Linked DNA regions of Arabidopsis thaliana. The protein of the gene in region 2 interacts with the protein of the main gene of each other region in a pairwise test. Each region holds a gene or a part of one and is shown on either strand. Other genes may lie near its edges. The genes, in order: AT1G20870 and MBD6.

Region 1 (4,990 bases), on a different chromosome or scaffold from region 2:
TAATGGTAGCCGAGAGCGGGTAATCACCACCGATACCTAAACCAAGAAAGAACCGGAAAAAACCGAGGCTAACCATAACACAAGACCGACGAGTGGTGCACACGGAAAAGCCACAACCAAAGGAGCTAAGGATCATAATAATCAAACAAAGTCCGTAGACTCGGCGACGACCGACTCGGTCACCGAGGTAACCGAAGACTAGTTGACCCGTGGCTGTGCCGAGTAAAGCGATGGCGTAAGAAGTTGAAAGAACGGCTGTGTTGATTGAGTCACCGTTGTAATAAACATGACTAATCATTTTCATGACCGGTGCTATGCAGAAAAGATCGTATGCGTCGGTGAATAGACCCATTCCCGCTACTATGATCGCTTTGAAATGGTACCATTGTGTTCGAGCTACATCAAGCGACGACAATACCTTTATCGGCATCGTTGGTTTTTTTATCTGAGATTCCGAATCCAGAGCTTTTTTTTTTTTTTTTTGCTTCTTTCCTTTTGGTTTGTTATATCGAAATTTCGAATTCATGATGAGTGAAACAGAACAAGGATCTTTATAACGATTAATAAGTCTCTTTGTCATTTTCATTACTTTATTGGTATGAGCATGGAATATGCTTATGATTTTGACTCCGAGGAAGACTTAGTCAGTTTGTTTGTAAGAGCTTCTTTTTATCTATGTTGTCACATTAAGGCACAACATCATAATTGTTTGAATTTTTCTAGCCAAATTAAACCGTCGGTTCAGTACTGTTTTAGTTTCGGTTTGATCACTTATTGAGAAATGAGAACAGTAACTACTAACAAGTAACAGCAACACTGCCAACACAGAAACAATATTAACGGATTCTCAGTTTGATGAAATCATTGTGAAAACGGATATTTAGCAAAATCATGCAAAATCTACAGAGTCACGTCCTAAAAGTAAAAGATTTATCCTTGCATGCTGTTTGATTCGCTTTCCTTCTATGTCCAGTAACATAAAGATAAAAGATCTACATAGATCCTAAGTTCTAAACTTGTATAGGAACCTCCGGTTTAATTAAGAGTTTTTGTGTCGGATGATGACTCCCTCGAAGATACCATCTGATCGGAAGTTAGGAGAGAATAGCCGCGGATCAACTGGTCCCGGGAGGTTAAAGCACAGCTTGAATGGTCCAGGCGGACACAGCTTCCGGATATTCATCTCGAACACCCGAGAATGTCTCTTGATATTTTTTTCGCCTCTTGTAGTTGATCCCTCCAGTATAACCTTTCCATCTGATTCAATCTCACAGCTGAATTCACCTGCACACAAAAGGACCAAACCAATTCATGTGTTAGCACTTAGACCCGATGTGGCGTGTATGGAAGTAGTTAGATGTGCAACAAAGTGTAATAATACCGTAATCTTTGCGGACACCGGGCAAAGCAACCTGAAAAAAGTAAGCAACCTTGTTGACACCAATGTCAACAACACCAACAGATGATCCTAGAGTTTCTTTACTGGCTGTTCCAGTAGTTACAACCGACGGTTCTGCATCGCTTTCCTTCATCTCCGAAGAAAAAGGTATAGGCTTATCTGTTTTTTCTCTTTCCATAAGAGTTTCACCATTCTTGTTTGTTGCCTTTTTTGATGAGTTCTTGAACCGTCTTCTCTTGTATGTCTCACGAAATCTTTCAGGGGTTTTACTCGTTCCACTAACAGCATGACCAGTAACTGCTTCTTCTTCCTTGTTCTTTCGCTTGCATGTTTCTGGAAGCTTTACAAATGAATAGTAGTCTTGGTCAGAGACAATTCCACTGAATGCAGATTCTCCGTTTCTTGAACAGTCCTGCTTCATTCCCTGGCTTTCTGGTATGTCTCCCGAAAGTCTTTCTGGTTCACTGATTACGCAACTAGCAACCGCGTCTTCCCCTTCCTTTCTCTTGCACGTTTCTTGAAGCTCACCAGATGAATTGTAGTCCTCGTTAGTGACAACTCCATTAGCTGTCGCATCACCATTTCTTGAACAGTCCTGCTCAGTTTCCCGGCTTTCATCCAGATTAACCCGAGGAGATAAAGACGTGACTCTATCGATTTTCAGGTCGTCCAAACGCGACAAGCATCTGAACCTTTGGAGTTCTTCCTTGTTTATGAACCCTACTGCAGGATCATCAATAACAACAATTCCTTTCACAATCTCGTGGCTCGGGGAATACCTTTTCTGCGGGTGAAGATTCGTCGGGAAAAAATGCGTGAACTGAGGAAACTTTCCACTTGGTTCCAATGGTAGATATCCCTTGAGATACATATAAATCATGTCTGGATGAAGAAGGAGGCTGGACTTGGCGTTTCTGAGTACATTATAGTACAAGTTCTGTAGCTGGGAAACAGTTAGAGAGGAAGATCCAATGTGCATCAAAGTGTAAGGTGGCAAACCTCTAGCTAATCTTTGAGAAGATGAACATCTTGGGTTATCAGAATAGACATCAGGACCCAAGTAGTTGCTCATGATGAAATTAACCAAGAAATACTGATCACTCGATAATCCGTCGCTATACAGACTCATATCTTCGATATCAATGAACCTGCATTACATATGAAAGTGGCAACATTGTCACAAATGGAAGCAATAAGGACATTCCAAAAACATAGTTACAGGACATAATTAAGTGTCTCAAATTTGCCAATTTAGTCATAGCATTGAAAATCTCCATCATTTTAGTCCCTAGATCTCTTAAGTTTAACCCTTTTCTAACAATGACTTTAGTCTCCATAATGTTTTGCCTTATCATTACTAAGGAGAAAACATCTTCAAATTAAACCCTAAAAACTTCACTTATTAACAGCAAAATCTACATTTGAAAAGACTATGTTGATATTTTGAGAAAGATTAGTAACTCTGCTTCATATATACTCTTCACAATACAAAAAAAAAAAAAAAACCAATTTTTACCCAGAAAATATCGCAATCCAACAATTTTTCACTAGTTAGCTCAAAGTCAACAATTTTCCTTAAATCTAAAGGTTACTACGCTTGAATACGAACCAGTTTGTACTTTTTACAGCAAAAATCGATCCCACATTGTTCCCACCACAGAAGATAAATAGGGATTATGCAATTTCAACCTTACAAGTCCAGCGATTGTGAAAATTCAAGCAACATTCATGGAGAAAAAACGAGAAGAAATTCGAAGCTTAAGCATGACAGAAAATTCTCAGTGGCAGATTTTACCTTTTTTAATTTCGTCGTGATGTTTTTGGGTTGAGGAGGATGATGGAGGTGAAGAGAAGAGAGATTTCTCTGCGAGAAAGAAATGTTTGGTGTAAGGAGAAAAATGCAAAAGAGGATGGGGGTCCTTTGCTTGCTACACGTGGCTACCACGTGGGTCCCGCAAATAACCGCATTTGGAGGTATCACTTGTCACCTGGCTCACCACGTGCCGTCTTGTTGAAGCACTTTTGGGCCTTTTAAAAAGTATAAGGCCCAAATGTTTTGTATGTCTTATTCTCATTGATAAAGCTTATTCTTTTAAACGAGAGGAAGTTGTAGGAAAATGGGAACATTAATCTTGTTTGTGCTGACTAAACTATCTCTAAATCAGTTTTCTCGGACATCAAAACATCATTACTATGCCACTACCTCATTATGTAATCCTTTTAATTATGTGTTGATCAATTTTTACTTTGATGGATCAAAGAAGGAAACGTAATTACATCCACCCCCAAAAATTGGACTCTTTAAAAATGGTTTAAATGACGATGAATTTAACTAAAAACTCGAATCTATCATCTTGAAAGCAAGTGGTAAACGAAGTGATAAATGGAGTATAAACAGAGGAATCAGAGTAGAAGATAGGAGTCATAGACAGAAACAATTGAGAAGAACAATTTATCAGTCTAGAAACTGTACAGACATAGAAAAGAGAAGAATCCTGGAGCTAAAATTTATGCACAGACAAAGAAGCTGAAGTGAGCTCCATAGTCATTAATTTTTTACTTACAATGCAGAGGACTTGACTCAAGAGGACGTGAGAATCTACCTAGTAATATTACCAACACTCATATGCCTTAAGAGAGTGTGTAGTAAGAAGACTACTTTTACCACCCAAAAGAATCAGATGTTGATTCCACCATTCTATATGCATTTATGTATGTGTTTATATATATATGAACTTTCTTTGTACACCAAACTTATTCCTACCAGTTTACCGCGAAAACCCTTGTTTCCGGGGTGAAACTATTCATATAGTTTATGCCATCAAGCTTGTTGTGGGCTATATACATAGGATGAGAGGGTTAAAGATAACAGAAGCACAAACCCTGAAACTTCCATTCTCCTTTCCCCCTTTTTTGACTTCTTCAGTGAGCAAGACTACTTAATACCTGTAACGACGGTAATGAGGTGAGATCGAAAACATTTGCAAGTACTGAAACTTAAAAGGGCACCTAAGGAAACAAGCTTACCTCTAGAATGCGAAAATAAATAATGTGCTAAGCTTAAACAGGAAGCCTGCCAGAGTAGCATTTGTCCTGGACTTCTTCCCTTTTCTGCAATCTTTAAGGATTACTAACTGAAAACCGATAAATAACAATGAGGTCGTGTAAGTGTGTACGAACTTCAATCCAATTTGGACCATCAAAAAAGAATCCAAGAATTTGCTTACGTTGATCACCCTGTTGTCTGATCAGAACCGCTACTCTGTATATACTGAGGAGGAGTCTGGACGATGACACGTTGGTGCGTTGGAGCTGAAGGAGAAGGGTATGGAGATTGAATAGCAGACATAGGTGAAGTGGCACCAAGCTGTAGAACATGACTTCCTGGATGTGAATAACCTTGACCCGCTGTATAACCGTGAGCACCAGGAATAGTATGGCTCAGTTGCCCATATTGATAACCCGGTGAGTTAACTGCCCCAGGTACTCCATAAACCTGAAGGTACTGTTGACCCATGTAAGGACCATAGAAACCCTACAACACCATGAAGAGAAGACATGAGTTTATAACTAAAGCCACAACAGTTTAAA
Region 2 (4,385 bases):
TTTTTTCCGTTTGACTCTTAAGGTTTTCTCTTCCTCCCCAAAATTGCTTTTTGAAGAGACAGACCGTCGCAGCAAACTCAGTGGCAATACTGTAAATTTTAATAAACAGAGAGGGGAAATGATAGTCAAAAGCCAACAAAACTTAAAACCTTTTCGTTTCACTTTTTTTCAAAAGCTTGGGATACAAGACTAATAAGGAAGCCTCTGGTACACCTAGAAGGTTACAAGACCAAAAATTACTAAATTAGACGATGGGTTGGGAGAGTTCCAATGGCCTTTTTGATAATTTATTGCAGATATTAAATGTGCTACAACCAGTTACATTCGAACCCCACAAATTGTTTGGTTAACAAAATCTAAAATTATGTTTGGGAAAAATATAATTGCGTCTGCCGGGAGTCGAACCCGGGTCTATTGCTTGGAAGGCAATTATCCTAACCGTTGGACTACAGACGCTTCTTGTCTTGTATCAGTGCAGTATTGTTGATGTTTCTTCTTATCCATTAGATTTAGATAACCTGAGCAGGTGAGACATGTCAAGCATTAGTTCTTGAATTACGACACTGGTTTCACAAAGAACAAGATCTTTTCCTAAACACAAAGTAAAAGACTTTGGAACACAGAATAGTTCAGTATCAAAATGTCTAAGAAGAATAGCTTTGTTACTACGACAGTGTCTTCAATTTCATCAGTCAAAAGTCGAATGGTTATCACGTTCCAAAAGCAAACACAAAGATGCATATCCCCTTATCATATTCTTCCAAAAACCGCTACAAAAATTATAGTACACATAACTTGATGATTGATGAATGAAGACTAAACAAGAATTATCCAATTAAGTAACCCTAACATATCTGTGTATCTTACCATAGATGCAACAACCCAAAAATCGCCACCAGGTCATCATAGTCTTCAAGCCGACACTTTACTAGGGTTTCGGCTTGTGATAAAGGTAAACGCAGTGCTCCAATCTCGTCTCACTGAGTCTTGAACCTTGACGTCCCCAATATTAGGTATCCAACCTTCTTCTCCTGCGTTTGCCATAGACCAGCTTACCTTGTCTGGTGGATTCTTAAAATCAAAGTCCAATGGCGGTGGCGGAGGTGGAGGCACTGTAGCGGTTCTGGTGACTCTATTGCTTCCTTGGCCTTCAAAATGCTGCAAATGCAAAATTCAATACACATCACAGGTTTGAAACCAGGGTGAAAGGTTTAATCTTTAAGCATGTAAACTCACGTCTGGATTGAAATATGTATTCTCAGCTTTCTTGGTGCCTCTTTTAGAAGTTCCATGTTCCAAGTAGTACAGCACCTCAGTCCTGGACCGAAACTTACGTCCTGTATTTGGTTCGTAATAGTACTGCAAAACCAGATAAGAAAATGTCACAAGTCTACACATCAATATCTACACCCATATTAGCATCGAGTATAACAACACCAAAACTTCATCTCTTCAATCACAATATATACCAAACCAAACCATCTAAATCCACCTGATAAATCAAAGTAACACTAATCACACTGATAAAGTGTATGATTCAAGTCCCAATACACCATTAACATAATCTAAACAAACTCATTAATGCTTAAGCAGAACCAACCACATCATTTTACTACATCATTACACTTGTCACTACTTTAAAGGCAAGATTTTTAAACCAAAGAGAACAAAACAACAGCAATCAAAGAATCCTCAATTTGTAGTCTTCAAGCAACAACGCAGCTCAAAACTTCATAGAGAAAAGCAGAGTCAAGCTGAGATTCTTTACCTTATCCACCGAACCAGCTGTGGCACCGGAAGTTCGAATCTTATCTTCAACTCTCCAACCAGGAGGCAACCAATTATCTCCAGGCGCCGCACGCTTCCGCGACTTCGATTCCGTCTGATGATTCACCTGATCAGTGCCGTTAGCCATCCCGATGCGTACGCTCTCTCCCGAACCAGAAATTCCGATTCCTCCCTGAATCGGTCGTCGTTTCGCACTACTGTCTAGGGTTCCGTCACCGGCGGAGGAGATGAAGGCTCCGGAGGCGAGAAGTGGATCGGGAGGGAAATCGCCGGCCACAGAATCTGACATACGAATTAGGGATTTGTCTTCACCAATGAGCAATGAGATCGCAGATTTTAACGGCGACGATCTCGAGAAATGGATTCTCCGTCGCAGCTTCTGTTTCTGGGTTTACGATTCGGTTCGGTTAAACCGAGATCGAATAAGAAATTAAAATTTAGTTAACCATCAACAATTCGTTTCTTCTTTTCTTTACCAACAAACATAATAAACACGTTTTATTACTAAATGAAACATTTAAACTCATCTTCTCATCACTAATCCATCAGTTTAACATTTTGTGTTGTGTTTATTGACACTTATTAGACCACATCCATTTAACCGAGTAATCTAAGATTTAGTGAGTTTCGACAATATGCATTTATATGTCACAATTGTTTGTACTAGATCAACATTATGGAGCTTGTTTTGTGTTTGATACGGATGTCTTTGAAGTATATTAGTCACAATTGTTTAACCATCACAAAATCTCTTTTGAGTAACAAATAAATTAAGTTTAAAATAGAAAATATAATAATTGAAATTAGTCGCTTATATATAGTACATTGGGAGTGGAAATTGTTTAAAGAAAAGTATGCTTAGTTGAAAAATTAACATAGAGAGGCTATTCAAAAAAAAAAGGATAAAAGAGAGATTAGAAAATATAATGGAAAAATGTGGCATTTGGTAGTAATCTCAATGTTTTTAACCTTCTGTCTTTTACTTTTACTTCCGTCTTCGTTTGGTGATCTTAGGAACTGTGATTAGAAGCATTTCCTATGCACTATTGAGGGTCCAGATTCATCGTACTCTGCTTTCGCAATCCACATCTGTCAAGTTTTCAAACACATACCAATATTTATATCAAAACAAACTTATGAATGTTATATTATACATGATCAAATAATAATAAAAATGTATATTAATGTGTTCACCTGCTGGAAAGTGCTGAGTGAAGCCAATATAGAGCCACCGATCCATACACTGTACTTCCTCTCCGGTGGAGCCACGACCTTAATCTTCATACTACTTGGAGCCAAAGCCGTAATCTCTTTGCTCATTCTATCACCAATCCCTCCAAACATTGTGGTTCCACCACTTAGCACAATGTTACCATACAAGTCTTTCCTAATATCCACATCACATTTCATGATAGAGTTATATGTGGTTTCATGGATTCCTGGATTTTCCATTCCGATCATTGACGGCTGGAACAGAACTTCCGGACACCGGAACCTCTCTGCTCCAATGGTTATCACTTGTCCATCAGGAAGCTCGAAGCTTTTCTCAACGGACGAGCTTGTTTTGGAAGTCTCTAGCTCTTGCTCGAAGTCTAGAGCAATGTAAGAGAGCTTCTCTTTCATGTCTCTAACAATTTCACGTTCAGCAGTTGTGGTGAAGGAGTATCCACGCTCTGTGAGGATTTTCATGAGGTGGTCCGTGAGGTCACGACCTGCTAGGTCAAGACGTAGGATTGCGTGTGGGAGAGCGTAACCCTCGTAGATTGGTACCGTGTGGCTCACACCATCTCCAGAGTCCAAAACAATACCTAATCAATAATTTGCAAAAGAACCAATTAGGGTTGTCCATAAAAGCATAACCAAATAGTCCTTAAAATAGTTCATATTATTTAAAATCAAGCATGAAAAAAAACTGGTTATAGATTGGATCAACACAAATATAAGTGTGTTACTGACCAGTTGTACGGCCACTGGCATAGAGTGAGAGAACAGCTTGAATGGCAACATACATAGCAGGAGTATTGAATGTCTCAAACATGATCTGAGTCATCTTCTCACGGTTAGCTTTCGGATTGAGAGGAGCTTCGGTCAAGAGAACCGGATGTTCTTCAGGGGCAACACGAAGCTCATTGTAGAAAGTGTGATGCCAAATCTTCTCCATGTCATCCCAATTATTAACAATTCCATGCTCAATTGGGTACTTCAGAGTCAAGATACCACGTTTTGATTGAGCCTCGTCTCCAACATAAGCATCCTTTTGTCCCATCCCTACCATCACACCCGTGTGGCGAGGACGGCCTACAATGCTCGGAAAAACCGCTCTTGGTGCATCGTCACCCGCGAATCCGGCCTAAGCACGGGATATATTTTTGAGTAGTCGTTTATGGCATAGCCTTATATATATGTGACATAGCAATAAGAGTCTTAGAGAGAAACTTTACCTTAACCATTCCAGTTCCATTGTCACAAACAAGCGGTTGAATGTCTTCACCGTCCGCCATTCTTCAATCTATATATGAATATGAATCAAGACCGGTAACAAACAATTGTAATATGCAAATAATGTAACGGTTCCCATGAAATTTTCATTCAACAAG

The links.
Region 1: the proteins of MBD6 (region 2) and AT1G20870 interact in a two-hybrid assay, tested with the Arabidopsis thaliana proteins (one study listed by BioGRID).

Annotation. Positions count from the first base shown.
Region 1 is NC_003070.9:7,258,248-7,263,237, forward strand, and holds AT1G20870 (HSP20-like chaperones superfamily protein), read right to left. Parts: upstream 3,234-4,990; 5' UTR 3,195-3,233; intron 2,548-3,194; 5' UTR 2,529-2,547; coding exon 1,382-2,528; intron 1,285-1,381; coding exon 1,040-1,284; 3' UTR 776-1,039; downstream 1-775. Other genes in the region: PHT1;8 (phosphate transporter 1;8), read right to left, coding at 1-586; AT1G20875 (uncharacterized protein), read left to right, coding at 3,234-3,434; AT1G20880 (RNA-binding (RRM/RBD/RNP motifs) family protein), read right to left, coding at 4,632-4,934. UniProt on the Arabidopsis thaliana protein: Acts as an anti-silencing factor that prevents DNA hypermethylation and gene repression.
Region 2 is NC_003076.8:23,950,013-23,954,397, reverse strand, and holds MBD6 (methyl-CPG-binding domain 6), read right to left. Parts: upstream 2,267-4,385; 5' UTR 2,078-2,266; coding exon 1,769-2,077; intron 1,360-1,768; coding exon 1,237-1,359; intron 1,159-1,236; coding exon 913-1,158; 3' UTR 691-912; downstream 1-690. Other genes in the region: ACT4 (actin 4), read right to left, coding at 2,812-2,877, 2,983-3,596, 3,745-4,138, 4,230-4,289. UniProt on the Arabidopsis thaliana protein: Transcriptional regulator that binds CpG, CpNpN and CpNpG (N is A, T, or C) islands in promoters regardless the DNA methylation status. Plays probably a role in gene silencing. May associate with histone deacetylase proteins (HDAC).